Linked DNA regions of Lonchura striata. The protein of the gene in region 1 binds, or shares a complex with, the protein of each later gene. Links are inferred from orthologs where the notes say so. Each region holds a gene or a part of one and is shown on either strand. Other genes may lie near its edges. The genes, in order: GLE1 and NUP42.

Region 1 (11,312 bases):
TTTAAAAGAATTTTTCCTCCCAGAAGAAATAAAACAAGGGTTGGAAATTAAAGAGAAACTAAGTTTTTTCACTGCATTCATACAGGCAAACTGAACACCCAATGATTTTGTTCTTCATAGCTGATAATTCAGTGCCCAAAAGCATCTCCTAGAGCACTGGCTGCCTGTGCCACCCCAAAACAAGAGATTTCCTCACCACAAACTTCTCTGCAAGTTTGTAGCAAACAAACTCCAGCCCCTGTGGATGCTGAGTCACGGACACCGTTTGCCCTTCAGTCTGAACAGGCTTCCCAGACAGCAGGTTATTGATCTTGTCAAACACCTCTCTCAGCTTAGAGCCTGCAAATACATAAGGAATGTATGGAGACAGAAGATAAGGGAACAGCAGACAAGGCTTACCCAGACCCCATCAAGCTCACCAACACCAGACCCACAACCCAAAGGGCACCTTTGCTCCATCTATTTAACCAAACTTAATCCTGATGAAGAAATACGCTTTTGAGTGAAGAAACAGGCCTTCAAAACAAAAGCAAACCCGCATGCACAGATAGGCTGTATGCAGATCAGCTTTCTGCTACAGGAACACTTTATATGCTTGTGCCCTCATAAAAACTTTAAAGCAAAAGGAATTTCAGTGGGATTGAGCTCTTGGTGTTTTCCTGACCTGATATACTAGAGATCTGGCTCACAGGGATTGTTGCTGCTTTCTGCAAGTTGGTTTTTATCTTCTTCACCTGGAGAACAAACAAACAACTTTAAAATCTTTTCCTAACAGGTATATATCTATAAAAGTTTGGATGAGAAGAGTGGTAACAGCGGCTTCTACAATAGAGTTTGTTTTTTTTATTTTAAATGTAAAGTATCCTGTTTACCCTAGAAATTAAGATAATTTCTCTTCAACAGTATTAATAATTTGTTCATACCTCAGTGTTGCTTTTGCAGTTTCCAATTTCACTGAAAGCAGCAACACATTGCTCAGCAGCATCCTGAAGCTGCTGGTACCACTGCATGATACTTTCTTCTGTTTTAACCTTAAGTCCTGCAATTAAAAAAAAAAAAAAAAAAAAAAGATAAGAAAGACCTAAACCTCTAGTGAGAAAACTCATTTTAAAAAAATTGTAAGTCAAAGGAATAAAAAAGTTTTTTAAGAAAGCCTAACCAACCTTCCTTCTGCTGCTTTTCCCCTGACTGCTGTGCAGGGGCAGGAGTCTGACTGTTCATCTGCTCTTTTTTCTCTAACTCTTTCTGCTTTTGTTTCTTTTCCTCTTCGTCTTTCCTCTTCTTTTCTTCTAGAGCTGCAGTGATTTCCTGCTGCATGCTGGATATCAACCCTCGCATCTCCTGCAGGGCTCGTTCAGTGCTGGCCACATCTGCTTGAGTTGGGAACCCTTTCTGCCAAGAAACATGAGAGGTAACACAGCCTTAACCTTTGCTTCCAGTGTCAGAGGGCCAGCTGCCAGTGCAAGGAGCCTTTGAAGCACTTCAGATAATCTGGAAGCTAACTATGTATTTTATCCCCATCTCCTTTATTTGTACATAACATTGGTTATAGTATTTGTAAATAATCCAAATCCATGACTAAATCTCCTAAGATCCTGGGACAACAAAAATCAAGAGTACACTTGTACAAGTGCAAGACAACTCCAGTGCAAAGCTTTGACAGCTCCCTATGCGGAAAGCCAGCTGTGACAAACTGGAACACAGGATTAGCCTTATTAGTGCTTTACCTTTCAAGACTTGTATCCCATCCTAGAAAGAAAAAATGTCAAGGAAAGCCAGCTACTGCAGAAAAGCTTATGAGGAGAGGAGATTCGTAAGATGTTCAGTATTTAACAATTCATTAACCAGTCCACTGTCACAGAGGGAACCTTACAGCACCAAGAGTTTTCAGCAATTTAATTTGAATCTTTCCTGTGTAGAAGTTCTCATGCATTTTGATAAGCCATTTTCATGAGAACAGCTGAAGTGCCAGGGGAAAAAATTCCCCTTTGAAATGGGATGCTTTATAGGATGAATATCTAAAATCATTGCTGTGCTATCTTATTTGAGGGCTTCATGACAAGCTGCCTTTGAAGACAACTACAGGGCCCAAGTTAACAAATCCGGAGCCTGTACCTCGCTCGTGGTGCGGATGAGCCCTGACACCAGTCCACAGATCTGGTTGCCACGATTGCTGTATGCAGACAGATCAATTCTGGGCAAGTCTTTGTGCCTGTAGTTGGGATCAATCTGCTGGTTCAGCTGCAGCAGCTCCTCCTGGATGGAATAAAGGCGACGCAGTCGCTCCTGGCCCTCTTCCTTGCGCAAACGTTCCAGCTCTTCCTGGCGCTGCCTCTGCTGCTCTGCCTCACGCAATTTCAGGTTCAATATCTGGGGAGACAAAGACACAAGAGTCAAAAAATACCTCAATAACTCTAGTTGTACAGTTCCTTCCCAGTCTGATGGCTCCAGCTTTACAGGGCCTTCCTGTTCCTAGGACACAAAGTGCCTTTGCTGCATTTCCACACTGCAGCAGTGCCCAGGACAGCACCAGAAAAGCCATCCTTATTTCAGAGTGTCATGAAAATACAAATAAATCAATTGGTCTTTCCAGTTCCCACCCAGTAGTCATGGTCTTTTATGAAAGACAATTCTTAAGAGTCTCACACCTTTGCTCTATGTCGGTGTTCTTCCTTCAACTTCTCTTGCTGCCCCTGAGCCTCCTTTGAGCTACAACACACATAAAGACAGAAAAATGGTATTCAAGACATTCAGGAGACAAAACACAAACCAACACACAGGAAGTTATTCTTAAAACAAGCTAAAGGAACTTTAGCTATCACAAATGTTGTCTTTTCCTAACCACTGAAACCTCAACAATAGCCAGATATCTACTGGGACAGCTAAATTGTAACAGGACAGTTAATGTAAGACAAAGAGCAGGTGAAATTTCCAACCACAAGTAACCAGCATAGAATTGTCAGGAACAGAAATTAATCTGCACTTTGATTAAATGCTATGAAATTCTAGTGATACCAGAGGTAATCTCACCTCTTCTCCATTACTTCTTGCAACTCTTGGAATTCCTGATGCCGCTTCAGTTCCCTCAGTTCATCAAAGCGCTTCAGCTGCTCGCTGGCCTGGGCATAGGCTGCCCTCACCATCTGCTCCTGCTCCTCCTGCCGCTGTCTCAGCCTCTCCTGCATCACACAGGGGCACCAAAGGTAGTCACTGAACAATATGGACAGAAGAAAACACAAACTAAACTGCCCAACATTTATAACTTGCTGTCCTTGCACTGTTACCTCTGACTGTGGAGCTCTCCTGGGATTCACAGGCAGCCCCTCAATCATTTTTTCTTACCTTTGCTTTCAGCCTGTGCATCTCTTCATACATCCGAATGCAGCCTTCAACTTTTGCAACTTTAGATGACAGAACTGCTGGAACAACTTCTTGACTGAGGAGACTAAGATGATCATTTTCCTGCATGGTCAGCATAAAAGCAAAATTAGCAACTTAGAACGGGATCAGAAACTCATGGAGGAAAACAGAAAAAGCAAGTCTCCTAAATTATTATTTGCCCAGCTTCCTACCCTTCTGCCTCATAAAACAGAGTCAGAATACAGGTATATCTCTCAAAACTACAGAGAACCCAGTGTGGTTACTCATGGACTTTTACAACAGCCCTGACCCTCCTCTGTGACCTTATCTCTCCAAATGGACAAATCCTGTGCTGCTAATCCATAACACAACAGAGCTCCAACTATTTTCCTCAGCTATGGTGAACAATGGAGCTTGCTTTGGGTCTACTGTGAAACATTTTTTTCTACGAAAGTCTTGTTAATACTGATTTTATCATCAGCTGTTCATACTAAAATAATTTAAACTAAGGATGTTTTCTCCATAAATTTACAGAGCACAAGCCAGCCTTAAACTGACAATTTATGACAGTAAGCTAGGACTTTTTGGGGTTTTTTATCACAGCTGTTCCATAAACATGTGAATTATAAGCAGAAAGCTACCTTGGTCTCACTGGGCTCTGTAGATGAGGGTGGTGAAGAGCTCCGGTGGCTGCCAGGCGGGATTTTCTCGGCTGATGCCCGTTTTGGGAGCGGAGTGGATTGTTCGGGCGTGGAGGAGGGTGAGGCTTCCTGCGCTGCCTGCCCACTGAGGCTGTCCAGCACCCAGCCGCAGTACGGGGAGAGCTCCACGGGAGCCACGCATCCGTCCAAGGCCGCCTTGAGAGAAAACATTCTCCGTGAGTGCGGCACAGCCTGAATTTCAATAAAACTTTAACACACCACGAGCACATCCGCACAGTTAGTAGCTGCTTTACCATCGCAGCTCAGTATCCCATTTAACCCATTTTTTCCGCTGTCTTTCCAACACTTTTTCCGGACTATCCTACTTCCGCAGGACATCCGAACCCCCCTGGACCAGCCCCGCTCCCTGACCCCGCGCTGCCGAGCCTGGACCCGGTCTGGGGGTGTTTCAAGCCCTGAGTGTCACCGAGACGAGCTTTCGGTGTTTCCCAGCGCACTCACCTCATCCTCCTGCCAGTGGCTGCAGTAGCTCAGCCGGCCCTTGCTGGAGAGGCGCAGGGCCTCCAGGGTGTCGAAGCGGAGCTGCCAGGACTCCATGGCGCTGCAGCAGCGGCCCAGGGAATCCCTCCGGCCCCGCGCTCCCTCAGGGCCGGCCCGGCCCCGCCCCGCCCCTTCCGGGCCGCGCTCGCCTCGCGCCGGCGGGAGGGGCGGTGGCTGCCCCCTGCCGGAGAGGCGCGGCCCGGCCCGGCGCCGCGGGTTCGAGTCCCGCCCCCGGCAGCGGCGCGCTCGCGGGCCGGGAAACGGCCGCGGTTTCACCCATTTCCCATTAATTCTGTGCGTGCTCCCCGGAGCCGCCTTGTGCTGCTTAGCCCCTGTCGCAGAAGCAGAGGGAAGGCTCCAGCCGTGAGCCACAGAAATAGGTTGGAATTCAGTTGCACCAACAGCCCCGGGATGTGTTTGCTTCTTCAAATTCACACGCATCTACTAAAGAGGAAATCCCCACCATAACCAATTAAAATGTATTCCTTTATTGGTTTCACTCCCAGCACTTCTGGGATTTCTAAAGTGTTAAACACAAACAATTACAGATCTCTCGAAAACTGTTTAGTTTAGAAAACTTCCATGACAAATATTGCCAGTGACCACATCACATAGCATATAAATAGTATAAAAAAGAGAGAAAAATAAAAACAAGGTTTATTTTTGTCCCCCTAAGAACCATTTAGTAGAAACAGTAGGACACTAGAGAGCATATGGACTTTAAAGACTTGAAATACAAAAGATCTGATTTTCCAGAAGGTGTAGAGGAATTTGATGAAGAAGTTGAATATCTCCAGCTCCTAAGTTGGCTAAAGGCAAAGTCAGGATTTCACACATCCCCAGAACTCACGTGGCATTTGCACCAAGATCTCAAATGAAGTGATGATGACTTCTTTAAAATTTAGATTGTTTTGGCTTAATCCTGGGTGGGTATACTCAGGATCAGAAAATCGGGGTAAGAGGAGTAAAGCAACATCAGCATCACACTCACAAGAAAAGGTAAGGATCAGGGAGGATATAAGAATCAAATATAAAAAACCAAACCAAACTCATAATTTCTGGTATAAAATTGTTACAAACACTGTGGTTGTGCAGGAGATTATCTCTCATGAGTGTAGAGCCTAGGCACCTCAGTTATTTTCAGCATCACACCAATAGTATAAAAATTTTTTTTAAAAACCCCACGTAATCTCTCCAACAGAGAAACTGAATGAGAAGTGAAGCACAAAGAGAGTTCTTACAAAAATTAACACACTCAACAAACCTCTGGCAGGTTTTAAAAGCTGAAACCATCATGACCTGACAGGAGGAAAAGGATCTTTTCCATTATATGCAAAACCACACGGTTTTGGAGCTCAGTTTATGGTGTAACACTAACCCCCAGCACCAAACCAGTATTGCTGATACCCCACATTTTGATCAGATGCCAACATAATTTTATTTTCTCATTTTACAATTAAAAAAATCTCCCAACAGTGACTCTGAAATGTCATCCAGTTTTCTAAACCAATATGGCTTTTTAAACAAAGCTCCTTCTGTGTGCTTAAAAAAGGTGCAAGGAAAGCATTGCTGTCAGAGAAGAGAGCGAGTGTGGCTGGGGGAGCCCAGAAAAACACTTTCCCTAAAAACGTTGTCGTAGGAAGACTTGAGGAACTGGACGTAGTTCTGCATGCTGCGGTTGGTGCTCTCCGACTGCTCCAGCCGATCCCGCAGGTCCTGGAGGCGGCTTTCGTATCGGCGCTCTGCCTGCACGGGGGAGCACAAAACAGGCTGAAAGGCAGCAACATTCATCCTGCTCCTGTTAAACTCTTCCCCCAAAGTGCCGAGGAGAGCCAGAATTAGCACAGCAGGAGATGACATTACCATAGATGGTGCTGTGATATTTATAATTTCTGCTCGTTCCCAACTCCATTCAGCAACCCGCTGATAAAAGCAGGAGACAATGTGGCTTATCAGTTGGGCTTTTAAAATGTATTAGCGGTAGTTACCGGGAATGAAACACACCCTTTTCTGAAAAGCAACTTGACCTGATCCATCAGCTAACACAATTCCAAGTAAAACTAAAGCAAAGAAGCAAGGTAATAGGACAGGAAAGAAATCCTTTCATCTCTCTCTGAGATAGGGGAAATGAAGTTGAAATCTGTCCATGATACCTGGTGCAAATCTACTTTGAACACAAGGAAAGTCTGATTCTTTTCTTACACACACATAACTTTACACCAGGTTCATTCATTCATTGTACTCTGACTGGCCTATCACCACACAATCCTGAATTGATGACAGCAGACATGTCCTTCATCACACATACATGGACACACACAACAGCACATCACATTCAGGCACACCTCTGCATGACCTCAGCAGCATATCCACAGGATGATTTATGGAATCCAACTGTTGCCAAGGCACCACAAGGACAGCAAGAGTATCCTCCACAAGCCACTCACATCCTCTTTGCTCCGATGCAACTGGTTCAGCTCTGTTTTATTCCTGCTCAGCTGTGTCTCCAAATCCAGCACCTTGGACTGGGCTGCCTTCTCTCTGGAGACTGCTCGTTCTCGAGCTTGCTCCACCTACACAGAACAACAACTCTGTTAAAGAGGTGTCTGTGGAAGAATGTTTTTTCCCCTACCCATTGCCCACAAAAGCCCCTTAAAATTTAACTGACATTCTCATATATAAGCAGCAGCTCAGTGTTGTGCTTTTCTCTGTTACAAACCGAGTTCAGTTCTTCAACAGTGCTGACAAATAGAACCAGCACATTACTTATATTTCACTGAACATGATGATTTTAATGGGTTTGGTCATAAGCTGAGAAGATATTTTCATGATTCTCACTGTTCCTCTTTCACAGCCTGGGTAGCTTTGGGTGAATTCAAAAACATGAGGAATTACTCACTTGTCTTTTGGCATCCTCAATGGCCATCTCCAGCTGACGTGCCAGGGAGCTGCACTCACGGCTCTTCTCCTCCAGCCGCAGCTGACACTGGTGGATTGACTCCTCACGTTTTGCTATGACCTGAAGGAATTCTATGTTCTGGGCACTCGTGGACTCTAGTTTTCTAGTTTAAGACAATAAGGGAAGGAAACCTATTCATTTTAAATGGAGTGTGTTTCATTCTGCCTTTTGTCAGGTCCTGACTCCTCTGGTAATAGATCCTATTCCTGCTTGAAAGGTGAGAGCCCCAGGAAATAGTTCTCCAGTTGTCAAATCAGAATTTCAAATATTGAAGGACCTACAGAGTATCCATCTACCTGCATTTTCTGAGACACTGTCACTGAAACAAATGTATAAACATAAGTTAAAATAATGTAATATCAAGTAACCTCAGAATTGCCAGGCTAGATTGGACAAGGAGCTGGTTTCTTTGCTGTCTAAGCCATCATTCTGTCTAACAACATTCATAACACGTGCTGCTGCAAAAGCATATAATCATCAGTGGACAGCTATTGATTAGAGAACCTTGTGGGATAAGCAAATGCACAGAATCCTGGAGGCATGTGGGGAACTGGAACAAGACTGAAGCTGTTTCAATCCCCTGTAAAAACAATAAAAATGGAAGGTTAAAAAGGCAAGAGAGCCCAGTATTTCTAACCTTTCTAGCTCCTCCACCTTCAAGGTGAGTTGCTTTTTCTCCTCTTGGGCAGACTGATATCTCTCTCTTGTCATCTCCATTTTGTCCCCCTGGAGGTCAATCTAAAAATTACAGGAATTAATTATTTCACAGAGTAGTCACTACACACACACATGTCCAGCCACCAAAAACATATGCAGGTCTCAGAAGGAAATATGTTCCATTCATAACTTCTGGAGAGCTTCAGAAAGGGAACCATGGATAGAAAAGAACTAAACATCTATTTTGCTGATGCTCCCAGTTACAGTCTGGGAAGGTGTAGGAAAAGTCATCTGTACTGCAAAAGAAAAGCCAGGCCCATAAATTCCTGCATGTAGAGCAGCAGCTACAAGCCAAGTACACAACAACAGCAGCCACAAACATGCCAGCAGCCCACAACAGCATCAGAACCTGAAACACCAGGGAGGTTTATCATTCCAAACCAAGCAGACTAAAGTGGTCAGACAGAGATCATGTGCTGTCGTGAGGCACAGCTGTAGATGTCATCCCTGTCTGAAATTGTCCTGCAATACCTTCACAGCCTTTCTGGGACCCAAAAACAGAAACCGGGAAAGCAACCTGAAACGGGAGTGAGAAAATGGCTGGGCCAGCACCATCACCAGAAAACTACAGGAGGGAAAGCTGACAAGAGGATGAGGAAACAGAAACAAGGGCTGGCATTAGCAAGCGCTGCCATGGCTGCTAACAAGTCCCAGAAAGATTCTGCACCAAGGGATGAGAAACCTTTCAAATATTAAGGAATGTTACCAGCAAAGCCACTAACTTCTTGCACAAAGACATGGCACACACCTTTATTTTGCAGTGCACGTTTAATATTTTCAGAAAGAGATGAGAACAGAGATGAAGTTTGAACCTTGCTGTGATTAGAAATTCATTCTCCTTTCTCAGTTGAGGTTTGCACTGGTACAGGTACTTTCTGCCAGTCCCTTACCAGCTGACGGAGATCTGCAATCATGGCACACAGGTCCGTGTTCTTCTTCTCATAACACATGAGCTGCTCATGGCACTCTGCCAGCTGTGTCTCAGTGTACTTCAGGATCTCAGGCAGCTTTTCCAGTTCAGAAAGCTGCTGCTGGAACGTCGCACGAGTCTGTAATCAAAGAAGAGAAAGTGAGGCACTTTCAAATGTTTGTAAGATCAAGACTAAAACATTTCTCAACTTCAATGAAGCTTTGTGTGGATATTTGGATAGTGCTGGAGTTCAATGCCTAATGTCTTTTCCTGCTCCTAAAATTTTTCACTTAGGATCTGGAATTCCCTATGGATGGTGTAAGAATGAGTATATTGGATTGTGGGCTTCAATCTTACTAGAAGTACATGCTCTGCTTCTGAGGTCAGCTGTTCCACATCAGCTAATGGTGTAACCTACCTAATCTATTGTTCAAAACCATTAATTCTGCAGCAAAGGACACACAAAATAATTTCTACATATCTGAAGAATGCCATATAGTCACAAAGAAGCTGCTAAATGTTCTTTCTGCAAAACTTATTGAACAAGTTCTGAGAAAAAACTGATGCAAAAGGCAGAATCAAGATAAGCCTTTTATTTCCTATTCACAGCTGTTTTTCACTAGATTCAGAATGCTAAGACCCATGAATATAACATGTCTTTTTCTATAACATGTCTTTAGAGGAATAGTTACCTCTTCAATCGCCTTGTTCATGTCATCCTTTATTGACTGGTTCTCTTTTTCACACTTCTCCAGTCTTTCTGCCATCTCATCCGCTTCCTTTTGCGCCATCTGTGCCTGGACATTCAAAAAAAGACCCCAGACTTCATCTGTTATAAATAGTTTTCAACACATGTTTGCAATGCCTTAAAGTAATTGAAACTGCCCCAGTTGGCAATAGCTAAGGCATTACAGAATAAGCCACAGTGGAAGGAGAAAACATCTTTGTGCAAGGGCTGAAGGTTCTGAGACCCACCTGTGCCATGTAGTTTTCAATCAACCCTTCGTAGCTCCTGACAGAGTTCTGAAGATGTTGCAATTCCATCTGTGCTTGGTTCAGCTTGTCCTCCGTTGAAATCAGAGCAGCCTGAAAAAAAGAAAACACTCTCCATTGAGTGCTTGGAAGTACCTGCCATGTGAGCTCTCTAATGTTGCCTAGACTAAGAAAATACAGTTTTGTCCATGCAAGTTGCCAAAACTTTTCAGACTTCAATAGGCAGCCAAATTTGCATCAGCAGAGCACAGAGGTTTCGGATGGAAAAAAATATGTAAGTCACCCACAAGATCACTCATGGTAAAGGACAACAGTAGAAATATGCCATTTTTTTTGTTCTGGAGATTACTATCCTCTTTGTAGGAGCTGCAACAGCTGTTTGTTCTCTGGTCAGTAGCATGAAGGTGTAAAGACAAGATTTAAGATCCCAACTAGATGAAACAGTAGTTGGAGATACTCCTTGCCAAAACATGGAAGAAACACAGTTCTCCCAGTATGTACACTTTCTCTGTCTCCTCCCAGCACACTGGCTCTGTCTCAGTCATGTTATATGAACTGGTTTAAACTGTATAGCAACAATGGGTGAAATTTGACTCTGTCCTCAGTGGCCAAGCAAGTTGTTATAATTCCCCCTTCTTTTCCTACTAGCATTTAATCTTCAAACCCTTAAGAGTCACTGACCTTTAGTTTTTCATTGTCTCTCTTTAAAATATTGTTCTCTCCATTCATCTTCTGTACTTTCTCTGACAAAGCATCGTTTTCATCCCGTGTCTGTTCCTGGATCTTTGCCAGTTGTTCCACCTGGTCTGCAACACGGCTGCCGCACAGAAAGAAAATTAATCCTAAGTGACATGAAGAGTAAGGCTCCTAACCTTTGGAAACTAGCTTCAGAAACATGGCTTTTCCCTATCCTTTCATCTTCCTTCTCCAGTCATGTATGCACACCTCTCTGTTAGCACAGTTTGACTATTTCAATCTTTTTATACCTTCTGCAAATTCACTGGAGTTGTCCCACTGGAGCTCAAATGAATTGTCTCAAAGATGCACAGGATAAAGATATGCCTCTCTCAACTCATACCTACTTTTCCCCGCAGCAACACCTGTACTGCAGTGATACCAACATATTTATTTACCTTCACAAGAAAACTGACATCAACTATATAACTTATCT
Region 2 (11,731 bases), on another chromosome or scaffold:
TCTGACTATTGTCCTTAAATCAACCCCTTTACCTCAGAGTAACATTCAAACAACTTCTGGGTCTTTTAAAATCCAAATTCTATTTTTTTCTGAATTAGATGCTTGAGGAAAAAATTACACAAAACAAGATATATAAGTTTTAAATGTATGAGAACAGACTCTTCAATCTGGCCTTTCCACTTATGCACTCACTCACTAAGCTGAAGTCCTAAGATTTACCTTAGCTTCTTCCACATTTTCAGAAAAAATACCCACTTTCAAAACACTGTAATTCATAACAATTCAATTGTATTATCCTAAAATAGTTACTATTGATGTAATTAACTTCCTTAATTTAAATCAACCCTCTTAAATGTGATTAATTTATAACTGCACAGAACAGTGCAGCAATGAATAGTATCTGTGTCTTGATAACTGTGATTTTGTATTAAGCAAAATCCTAAAAAAGTCTTCAAACAACCTTTCAGGAATTTCAAACCTGAATTTCCTACATTTATACTTAAGTTAAGCAACACATTTGATGTCTGGCCTAATTGAATTTTCCCTAAAACTTAAACAAGTAAAACACCAAGTGTCACAAATGCCTGCAAAAATTGAATGATTAATCTTTTTGTAGACAAATTCCTTAATTTTTCAAAAGAATCTTGCATCACAAACATCAATAATTCTTTTGTGTCTAATCACATGCTGGAAGATCATGTTGCTTGGTATCTGCTCCTATCCAACAAACTGGAAAATTCAGATTTTGACCCGGTTTAAGAATAGAAACATGGAAAAGACAAGCTGTACTTAAACATCTCGTAAGAGAACTGTATCATACAGTTACCATCATGTACTGTATCATACAGTTACCAACAGTGAGAGTTAGGAAAGCTTGCATTTCATGCTTTGATAAGATCACAACTTATTTATTTATTTAAATAGCCATGTAGAGCATATTGTGTATTATTTATTATTATTTTGGTTTATTATTTTAATTGAAGTTTAAAAAAATATTATGTGTCTCCCATCTCTAAAAATGCAATTCTGGTAAATCTGAACATATGAAGCAAGAGTGGTGACAAGAGCAATTCCTTCTGTAACACAGAACCAAGAAGAGGAAAGAGTGCAATGTAGTTTGAATTAATTTGTACTTGCATCTATCCAACAGCCTAATTTCTTTCCTGGCACAACACTAAACTCTGTTAGCTTCTTGGTATTGACAGGACTTCAAGGAAGGAATGATATATATACACACTGAGAGATGTTTTATATAAAAACATATGTCTTACTTCCAAATGAGTATATACATATCTGTCTCTAGAAAAGTAGTATTTGCTATTTTCATCATTAATTCCCTACAACAAAGGTATGTAAAAGAACAAGGCCAATTTCTATTTAAAGCACCAAATAACCACCTATAACAATCAAACTGACTAATAGTGTATAAGGTATTAAACTTCTGAGACAGGACTCAAGTAACTTCTACAAATAACACACAGGAGCAGGGACAAGATTAAGTCAAGGAATGTCTAGCAGCTATTTTTGCATTCACTTTGATGCACAGGAATTGAAAAATATTTTGGCATTCTGATAATTTTCTAGAGTTGGGAGGTAAATCAATCAAGAGTTGCCACCTGAAGAACAGTAACAAGTCTTGCCCCAAGAGTGTCCACACCAGCCAACATTTTTAAAATACTTACATAATTCCCAATTATATTGTTTGCTCTGCTGTCATAATACTCCAGACGCAGCTCTTCTGGTGAGACATCTGAAAAGCCTGCCAGACAGGAATAGTCAAAAACCTCCAAGAAAACAGATTGATTCCTCCAGCTGCCCTCAACTCTTATGAAGACATGGACCTCGATACATGGTCTCTCTTAAGACAGTTACAGTTAAAAAAAGTTTAAAAAGTTAAAAAAAGAGAGTTACAGACAAAAAGAAGATTCATTACAGAGTAACAGAGGTGTGAATGTCCAAGCTGAATCTGCCATCAACTAGTATTACTTTCTGTTGTATCACAAGGCAAATCATCACCTTGTAAATGGTTGCTCAGAGGTACAACAATATGGCAAGTCACAGAAACATCCTAAACAGCAGCAATACACAGCACTGAAAACATTACCTACCTGAGACATTTGGTTTTTCTTTCATTGGTGAGTAACATGAAAATATCCATTGTCCAGAAGATTCCCATATTTCCATGTCTTTCACTACACATTCACTAACAAAACAAAATCACAGATGAAATTGTGAAAAATCACATGAAATTGCATGGTCAAATCAAAAATGCCAGTAACAACCAATTCAAACAATTGGTTTGAATTTAAATTCAGAGTCAAAAACCTGCTATCATGAAAACCAAGTGTTTTCTTAATGTAATCTTAAAAAGAGTAATAGATAATATTTCTAAAACCTTGCTTCTTTAGGAAATCACACTGCAGCTTTTCAGTATCTGCCCTGCAGGTTCTGGCCACTTGTAACTGACTGTAACATACACCTCTGTGAAACCAATAGTTTTGCTGTTGGCAGAAAGATTCGTTGTCTTAAGTGACAAAACAACAAGTAAAATAATTCAATTTCTTAAAGGGCTCTTATTATTAAGGGATTTCTTATTATTAAGCACTGAAATCTGTTTCCTTCCTTATCCTCCTGATCACAACTTTAATACCATCTTACTAATATCACAGTTGCCTATCTGCCCAACCCAGGTCCCAAACAAAGATCACTTCCTCCCCATGCCAGCATCATTCCAGAGAACCAAGTCTTCTCTGCTTCTTCCCGTGTCCCAGCTTTCTCCTCACAATCCTGTCCCCTGCATTATCTCTAGATAGTCAGTAAGCTTTCAATCTGCTCATTCTAAATGCTTCCAGTAAGAGAGGACTGTAACTTACATAAGTCTCTCCTCTTCATCTTTAGAGCCATCAGCAACACTTTGACTGTTGGCTAAGGCAGAGAACCTGTTCTGTGAAAAGTCTGCGTTTCTGCTGCTGCCGCCTGACGATCCAAAGTCAGAGGAACCAAAGAATCCTCTTCCATGATCTCTGCTGCCACCCCACGTATCCGACTTGAACGAAGATGGCTGGATAACATTACTGTATCTCTGGTTAGAGGTACCCCATCCTCCTCCTCTTCCACTAGAAACTTCCAATTAAAACAAACAAACAAAAAAGCAAACATTTTAACATTTTAATCATTAAGATATGAATCAACATCAACAAAAACTGGAAGTATAACTAGTCTTACAGTGACAATAAAAAGTTTGAAATTAAAGTGTAGTTTTTTCCTAATAAAAACTCATTATTAAGTCAGCTTAACTACTGAGTTGCCCAGGGTAGTTCTCAAGTCCTACTTCTCAAATGGAACAGTTTGGGTTGGAAGGCACCATTAAAAGTCATCTAGTTCAATCTCCCCTGTGCCTTAATGAGCAGAGATGCCTTCAGCTACCTCATCGTGCCAACAACTTGTGGCACTGCAGAAAGACACTGACTCAGTTTTGCTTAGGTTGTTTGATGAAGTAGCTACCCCAGCAGAAAAAAATTAAATTGAACACACCATAAGTTTATGTTAGGGGCTCCTGTCTCCATAGCTACAACAGGGGCTCTGCTCCAGCACAGGGAGCTCCCGAGTTTCATTTTGAGACCCCGGACACACCTGTGCGTGTTGTTACAGGCAAACCCCGACCCTCCTTCCAGCAGGAATAAGGACAAGTGGCTGCAGTGAGTTCGTGCCGTGCCATCACTGCAGCCCCCAGCTCTCTGTCATGCATGCCCCTTTCCTTCCCAAAGCCCCCACACACCCAGAGCAGACGAGAATGGAAACAGCCGTCACTGGGTGAACATACAGCTGCTGGAAACTTGCTCACTGCTCATAAGAACAGAGTTTTCCAAGCTGTTTTCCCACTGCCTTGCGGCACATCCCGCGGTCACAGAATCACAAGATCAGTTAAGTTGGAAAAGAGCTCTGAGACCATCGAGTTCAACCTATGACCAAACAGCACCTTGTCAACTAGACCACGGCATGCAGTCTTTCCTTAACCACCTCCAGGAACAGCAACTCCACCACCTCCCTGGGCAGTCCATTCCAATATTTCGTGTCTCTTTGTGTGAACGCCCAACCCGAACCTCCCGTGGTGCAGCTTAAGGCCTGGTTGCCTGGCAGAAGAGCCCGACCTCCCTCCCCCCGGCTACAGCCCCCGTTCAGACACTTGCAGAGAGCGATAAGCCGCCCCCAAGCCTCCTTTTCCTCAGCCTAAACACCCCCAGCCCGCAGCGGCCCGGTCAGACAGCGCGGCCGAGCGCGCCCGGCGCGCTGCGCTCCGGCGGCGGCCCAGGGCCGGGCCGCCCTGCCGGCCGGCGCGGCGGTACCGTGCGCGGGGGGCGGCCCGCGGGGGTGCTGGTTCCAGCAGCGCTCCCCGAAGCGGCAGCAGCCCCGCAGGAAGAACTGGCAGACGCCCATGGCCGCCCGGCGCTCCTCTGACGCGCGGCCGTGCGCGGGCGGGGCCGGCCCGCAGGGAGGCGGGGATAGCCCGGCACGGGCGCCCGGGGGTGGCGCAGCAACGGGCGCCGGTAAAGCCAAGCTCGGGTTTGGGTCGTGCTGCGCAAAGCGGCAGCCACGGACGCTGTAAAACAGCCGCCCCTCTCGCACAGAGGCTCTTCTCCCCGCAGCCCGCGCGGTAAAGCGTTCCTGTGCTGTGTCCTTACGGGGAGACTAAGGGATGTATAGCCCGTGCCTACAGAATCATCAGGGGCGGAAGAGACCTTTAGAATCATCCAGTCCAACCTATCCCTGTCACTGTAATCCACTAAACCACATCACCCAGCAGATCCAGGTGCCTCTTAATACCCCCAGGGATGGTGATGTTTGCAAAAATTGCATTCATTACCCAATGATATACCAATAATTACACATTTGAAAGACTCTCTATTTCAGTTGCACAAGCCCAGTGCTAGATGGCATTCCACAAATCAAGCACACCGGCTATCAAAACCTTTTGCTATTTATACATTTTAGCAAACAAAGGAATTAGCATTCCTTGCCTACAAGTTACATAGCTCTCTTACTAATTCATATTCTAGCTTCTATTAGTTAATTATTCTCTCAGTTCTCATGCCAATTAGTCCACATTCTCAGTCTCTCTCCTTGTGGGCCCATGGGTTTCTTGGGTTGGTGGTCCATGAGCTGGTGGTTGCAGATCCCCCTGCTGGAATTATCTTTTACCCAGTCAGATCTGGTGTCAGCACAGTTGCTGAGTTGTTTTTATTATTTTCTTCCTTATCTTGGGGATTCTGAAAAATATTCTTGTGGCGTGGAAATTCTGTATTATTGGTGTCCACAATCAGCGATACATCCTTCTTCCCAAGCTTTGTTAACCTCACCCAGGTCTGAGATCAGGCACAGTTGCTGAGTTGTTTTTATTATTTTCTTCCTTATCTTGGGGATTCTGACAAATATTCTTGTGGCATGTAAATTCTGCATTCTTGGTGTCCACAATCAGTGATACATCCTTCTTCCCAAGCTTTGTTAACCTCACCCAGGTCTGAGATCAGTGAAGTATGTCCAGCCCTGAACCCTAACAAGGCAATTCTGTCTACAAGTAGTTTGTTTTTCTACCATATGAGCATCATTTACAGCATGCCAGCTGCTATCTATTTCAGGGATTAAATCTCCCTTCTTGTTCATTAGGCTTGAAAATAGATAAAGATCAAGCATTAAACAACATCCTTTCTTAGGAAAATTGTACCACATATTGTAACAGTGATTCCACCACCTCCCTGGGAAACCTATTCCCATGCCTGACCACCCTAACAGTGAAAAAGTTTCTTCCAATATGTAATCTGAATCACCCCTGTCTCAGGTTAAGGCCATTTTCTCTAGTCCTCTCACTGTAGGTACAGTATAGCTTGGAGATGTTGAGCTGTTGCTGTTTAAAGTGTATAAAAATGGCTGGCTGGCACACAGAGGTGGTGCTACATTTAGGGATTCTCTACCCACATGAACAGCCACGTAACAAAGATCTCTGTGCACAAGGCACAGCATCACCAGCCAGGCAAGGGAGGGATTGTCCTGCTTGGCTCTGTACTGGGGTGGCTTCATCTCAAGTCCTGGGGGCAGTTTTGAGCACCTCAGTATAAGAAGGATATAAAGCTGGTAGAGAGCATCCAAACGAGGGCAACGAAGATCAAGAAGAGCCTTGAGGGGAAGCTGTATTAGGAGCAGATGAGGGCACTTAGTCTGTTCAGTCTAGAGAAGATGAGACTGAGTTGCAATCTACAACTCCTCAGGAATAGATGGAAAAGCACTGATTTCTTCTCATCATTGACCAGTGACAGGACCTGAGGGAATGGCCTAAAGATGTGTAAGAGGAGGTTTAGGTTGGGTATTAGAAAAAGATTCTGCATCCAGAGGCTGGGTGCTGGAGAAAGCACCTCAGGGAAATCATCACAGCACCAACCTGACAGAGTTCAGGCACATGGTGTGCCTCTTGGGGATGGTCTTGTGCAAGGCCAGGAGTTGGACTTCAATGATCCATGTGGGTCCATTCCTAGTCAGGATATTCTAAAACTCTACTCTGTGTGCAAATCTGCTTCTTGCACCCAGTAGAATCCATATTTGAGAGTTCTAGGTATGCAGGCAGCATGGCCAAAAGCCTTGACTGGCCATCTTGCTTCCACTGGCAACAGAGAATTGGATGCGACAAGTCTGCAGCATGTACTGACTCCATCAAATCCTCTCCGGGATCAAGGTGGTGAGCAACAAAAAGGTGCAATGCCGCAGAGAGACTCAAGTAAGTCCAAAAAGGGGAATAGGATTCTTGGATTGGTAGGTGCACTAGTGTTCCTCTTTCAAATGGTGTATGTTTATCAGTGTAACCAATCAGGTGGACTGGAGTCATGTAACTACTGAAGGTCTGGACCTAAGGGTAAAAGAATTGCCTAACTTGAAGTCCATTAAATTTAATGACAAGAGCCTGCCAATCCACAATTCCTCCTCACAGCTGTCTGGGATGCATCCCCAAAAACGGGAATGTGTTTAGAGGAGATCCAGTGACTAAAAATAAAGAAGAGATACTGTCATCACTGGTGGCCACTTTTAAATTGGAGTATAGGGTAAATGTGTCATTGCAGTCTAATATTATTTTACAGTGGATGTTGAAAAAGGGGATGAGGTTTTATGAGCAAATGTTAGTTCCCTTCTTTCCACACCCATATAAGAGCAGAGTGGAGATGGACAAAGAGGATACAACTCAAAATATAGAGCACAGAGAAGCAGTGGGGGCAGAGCATCAGCCATTTTTTTCTGGACAAGTTCCTTGTACTACTTTTGATTTTTTGAATTGGAAATTATCTGTTGGTTCATAATGAGAGAATCCTGAAGGAATCAGCTTTTGGAAACTATCATGCTGACTCATAACCCCAGTTGGTGGGATATGCAGACTATATTGAACCCCTTTTTAATGTGAATTAAAAGAGAATGGCATTAGAAAGGGCAAAAGGATAGGAAGGAGTTGTGGGGTCTGAAATGGCCCCTCCTTTTGACCTGAATCCATGTGCCATTTCTGGACAGGAAGGGTCAACTTAAAGATGAAATCATTCAGATATTGGAGGATTGTGATAATGACTGAAGGAGACTGGAGAAAATTAGGGAGGCATCCCTCACATATCAGCTAGTTTCAGTAAAGCTGGGGAATAAAACAACAGATTTTTTATAGACAGCAAAGGCACACATTCAGTAACAACTATCAGTAAGGGCTCACCAATAAATTTACAATACCAGTTGTTGGGGCAATGGGGAAAAAAGCTTTCATGGCCAATCCTACACCCACAGAGCGTACATTTTGAGACAATTCATTGATACAAGAGTAGGTTCTAAATACCTGACTGAAACATTCTTTCTTTTGACACCATATTTTTCATAGAGTCTTTGTACAGAATTTCACAGGACAGCATATAGAATGAAATGTTCCATTTTAGTTTCAACAGTTCATCTTTCAGATGTAAGAAGTCCATCCCAAAATAATGTTCAAAAGTTTAGACTTGTACATTTATTTCTGCAAAGAGAATTGAGAGAGGTAATAAAAATTAACATTTCAGAATAAACTTAAAAGGTTGAAAGCATTTAAAAGTTCTAATGGTGGCGGCTTAAGAGGAATCTTTCCAATTGTGAACTCCTTTGCTTCAAACTGTTGCCACTCTTCAGCTGACAGCTCGCTCTTGGGTGTGAATAACTTCTCTGAGGCAGGGCTGGAGGTGGTGGCTGCAGCAGACGCTGAGGTGACAGGATGTCCGGAGGCACCGGTGCTCTGGCCAAATAAAGCACCGCTCGAAGGTGACGCAGAAGTGGGGACGGTGGCACCAAAGGCCCCAAAGGCTGCTGGAGTGGTGCTTGCAGAGTTCCCAGCAGGAGCACTGCCAAAGCCTGAAAAGCCAGAAGTCCCAAAGCCACCAGCCGTGGCAGCTGCTTTAAAGGAGAAGGAGACTGTGGAGGGAGCAGCCGAGCTGCCAAAGCCAACGGATTGGGGTGCACTAGGAGAGGATGTTGTCCCAAATGCAGGAGGATTTGCAGCAGCAGCAGACCTCCCATCAGCAGTAGGGCTGCTCCCAGATGATGCTGAACTGATGAGGCTGGAACTGGTTTTAAAGGAGAAACTGCTGGCACTGGTGCTGCTGCTGCTCACAGGAAAGCCTGCGAGTAGAGAATTTACAAAAAATATTAGAATTGTTAGCCCAAGGATTCTAAACAAATGCTGCATTTCAAGGATGCAGCAGCAAACTACAGAAAACGTGTAAATGGTTTGGCTCTTAGAACGAGAACTTATTTGACAGCCCAAAGCCTGAGGTTGGATGTCCCTCCATTCCAAAGGCAGGTGCTGCTTGAGTGCCCATGGTCTTGAAAGCAGAGAGCTGAAAAAATTCCAGAGACATACATGAAAACTAGATTCCAAAACAGGGAACTCTCTCTCAGTAACTCTTTGAAACTAAGTCAGAACTGCCCAGTCCCACTGAATCCAACTCAGACCATGCTGGACAGTGATCATTCCTCACAACTGCCTGTTTTTGCAGTGCTTTAAGTGCTCTAAGGCCATACCTGCCCTTCTCCGTAAAACCCTCCAGAAATGCAAATCTGTTACAACTGATCAATTTTTGCCTGTCAGTCAATGACCTGATCCCCTCTGGGAGCTCTCATTCTCACCTCTTACCTCAGTTCTAGCCTGTGCTCTGTGACTGTATTTAGGGCACAGCTTTGACTCACTCTGCTCCTGTCCTCAGCACATCTTTGTCTGTTACTGTCTCCTGTGGTAAAGCCCAAATCCTGCTTGTCCACCTCTGGCTCTGAACACACCAAGGGCTGGGATCACATTACTCAACCTTCCCTGCACTTCATGCAGACTGCACTCAAAGAGAGACGTTTCCTCTGCCTCCCTCAATTTTTCATATGGGCTTGAAATTCAAGCATTTGCTTCTGAAAAACTATCTCCATTCACAAGTGTTTGTCACCTTCCCAGGACCAATGACTCTTTCTATCCTCAAATGTTATCCAAAGGGATTCTCTCCCATCCACCTCTCAATTGTCCACATGCTCCATTTATCCTAAGGTGTCCTGGAGGAGAATTCTGGTCCAGTCTGCTGATCCTCTCTTGGTAGAGTCAACATCAGCACATGGGAAAAATGGTGTGGTGGGGATGGGCCTCTTCCTAGTCATGTACACAACCAGATCCCAAACTTCAGCTCTGGTTGTTTTCACGTGGCTTGCAATGAGAGTATTCCAAAGCTGGGATCCAGCTGCTGCCTTGCTAACATGGAACCATCCCTATGCATGTTTATCCTCAGTTAACTGAAGGGGTTTGTAATAGCATCTGGAATTAACTGATTTCAGGAGTCCATAGAATATGCCCAGGTGGCACATCACAATTGCCAAATCTCAGAAGTCTTTGTAACCATAATTAATATCTATGTAAATTACTCCATTAAAAAGTAACATCAGGCACAGAGACATGTTGCCATTTGTGAACACTTACCAAAGATGCTTTTGTTGATGCATTTAAAGCTTTCCACTGAATCAGCCAGTTTTCCCACTGTTGTGGTTACAGTTCAACAGCATCTATCTGAAAAGAGAGAGAAGAAAAATGCATATTTTTATTATTGGGGAAGACTTAAAAAAAATTAAAACAAAAAATAAAATTTGTCTGTCAACTGAACCAAAGAAAAATATTTAGAATTAGAGAAGAAACTTCACAAATCCAACAGAGGAATTTTGCTTTCCTTCTATTTCGAGGTGAAAAGATTAATTTCTTGATATTAATACAAGATTCCTTTAAATACTCTTACTGTTGCCCTTATATCAAATTTTTATGTCTTTACATGAAGAGCAATATCAGATCTGATATTCTGAGAGAGACCTCAGGCAAAAAGATGATGGTAGCGTAGACCATGTGGACCTGCTGCTATTTTGGCATTCTCTTTGGTGCACAGGAATTGAAAAATATTTTGGCATTCTGATAATCTCCTGGAGTTGGGAGATAAGTCAAGAGTTGCCACCTGAAGATTGGTAACAAGTCTTATCCCAAAGATTGTCCCCATGAGTCATCATTTTTAAACTGCTTACACATTTTCTAGTTTTACTCTTTGCTGTCATAGTACTCCAGATTCAGTTCTTCTGAAAGAAGACATCTGAAAAGCCTGCAAGGACAGGAAAAATCAAAAACTTCCAAGAAAACCGATTAATACTTCTAACCACCCTCCATAGTTAAAAAGCCATGGGCCTTGGTACATTGTCTTGTCCTGAAACAGCTACACTCGGAGACACGAAGGATTCATTAAAGAACTCCAGAGGTGCAAATTCCCCAGATGAATTGGGAAACGCCGGCTCTTTGAGCAGGAATAGACAGGCAACCGCAGCCTTCGGCTCTCCGTTTAATCCCTCGCCTTCCAGAGCTGCTGAAGCCGGTGAGAATGGAAACAACGCGCGGCTGCTGCACGCTGCTCCGGGCAGCTCAGGTGCCCGGACTGGTGTCCCACGGCCCCATGGCCCATCCCGTAGCCCTTCAGGCAGAGCACAACCCTGCAGTGCAGAACCAGAGGCTGCCGCGGACAGCCCCAGCCGAGACCCGGCCGGCCCGCTCCGCTCCGGAGCTCCGGCCGGGGCGGGCAGCGGGGCAGGTCCGGAGCCGCCCGCAGCCCCCGCGCCCCGCCCGCCGCTCGGGCACGGGGGGCCGGGGCTGCCGGAGCGGGGATGCTCCTCCCGGGGCTGCCGGAGCGGGGATGCTCCTCCCGGGGCTGCCGGAGCGGGGATGCCCCTCCCGGGGCTGCCGGAGCGGGGATGCCCCTCCCGGCGCCGGCCCGAGGCGGCCGCAGCCCCGCGGAGCCGAAGGACGAGCGCGTTCGCCCCGCGCTGCCGCCGCCCAGGCGGGCCGGGGCTATTCACCCCCGGCGACAACGGGGGCCGTGAGTTTAAAAGCGGATGTAAAACAGATAAAAGAGCCTGTCCCAGTCTAAAGGGCACACAGTTCCCTCCACAATTCCAGTAGCTCGGAATCAAGGAGTGGAGACACCAGGGACACGTTTCGTGGCCAGGAGAAGTGAAAAGGCAAGGGAAAACAAAAAAAGCCACACGCCCTTCACTTACTGCTGAATAAAGAAGGAAGTTGCAGGAACCACAATGGAGGCCATGAGTGCAGCTAGTCCTGTCCGTACAGGCAGAGTTGTCAGGATGAGGAAGGAAATGAGGAGCAAGTCTACAAAGAATCATTGAC

What was found.
Region 2: the proteins of GLE1 (region 1) and NUP42 are in contact, whole or in part, in a crystal structure (PDB 6B4I), measured with the Homo sapiens proteins. The link is inferred for Lonchura striata from reciprocal best matches to the Homo sapiens genes GLE1 and NUP42. Residues at the interface, in NP_001003722.1 of Homo sapiens: Ile385, Ile593, Leu598, Asn599, Trp602, Arg603, Ala606, Gln607, Leu609, Asn610, Gln636, Tyr637, Gln638, Val639, Gln640, Lys643, Met644, Ile646, Leu647, Glu650, Asp651, Tyr652; in NP_001357375.1 of Homo sapiens: Asp185, Asn186, Val187, Leu188, Phe189, Gln202, Phe203, Gln204, Ser205, Lys206, Lys207, Phe208, Leu210, Gly211, Lys212, Ile213, Pro214, Leu215, Lys216, Pro217, Pro218, Leu222, Leu223, Asn224, Val225.

Annotation. Positions count from the first base shown.
Region 1 is NC_134624.1:449,639-460,950, forward strand, and holds the start of GLE1 (mRNA export factor GLE1), read right to left. Parts: upstream 4,674-11,312; 5' UTR 4,620-4,673; coding exon 4,524-4,619; intron 4,254-4,523; coding exon 4,002-4,253; intron 3,463-4,001; coding exon 3,343-3,462; intron 3,180-3,342; coding exon 3,031-3,179; intron 2,710-3,030; coding exon 2,649-2,709; intron 2,371-2,648; coding exon 2,116-2,370; intron 1,393-2,115; coding exon 1,164-1,392; intron 1,040-1,163; coding exon 924-1,039; intron 735-923; coding exon 665-734; intron 340-664; coding exon 197-339; intron 1-196. Other genes in the region: ODF2 (outer dense fiber protein 2), read right to left, coding at 6,135-6,308, 7,010-7,135, 7,462-7,624, 8,159-8,259, 9,129-9,287, 9,841-9,945, 10,124-10,234, 10,823-10,958. UniProt on the Homo sapiens protein: Required for the export of mRNAs containing poly(A) tails from the nucleus into the cytoplasm. May be involved in the terminal step of the mRNA transport through the nuclear pore complex (NPC).
Region 2 is NC_134603.1:125,079,883-125,091,613, forward strand, and holds the start of NUP42 (nucleoporin NUP42), read right to left. Parts: upstream 4,478-11,731; 5' UTR 4,438-4,477; coding exon 4,347-4,437; intron 3,124-4,346; coding exon 2,874-3,123; intron 2,204-2,873; coding exon 2,109-2,203; intron 1,760-2,108; coding exon 1,683-1,759; intron 1-1,682.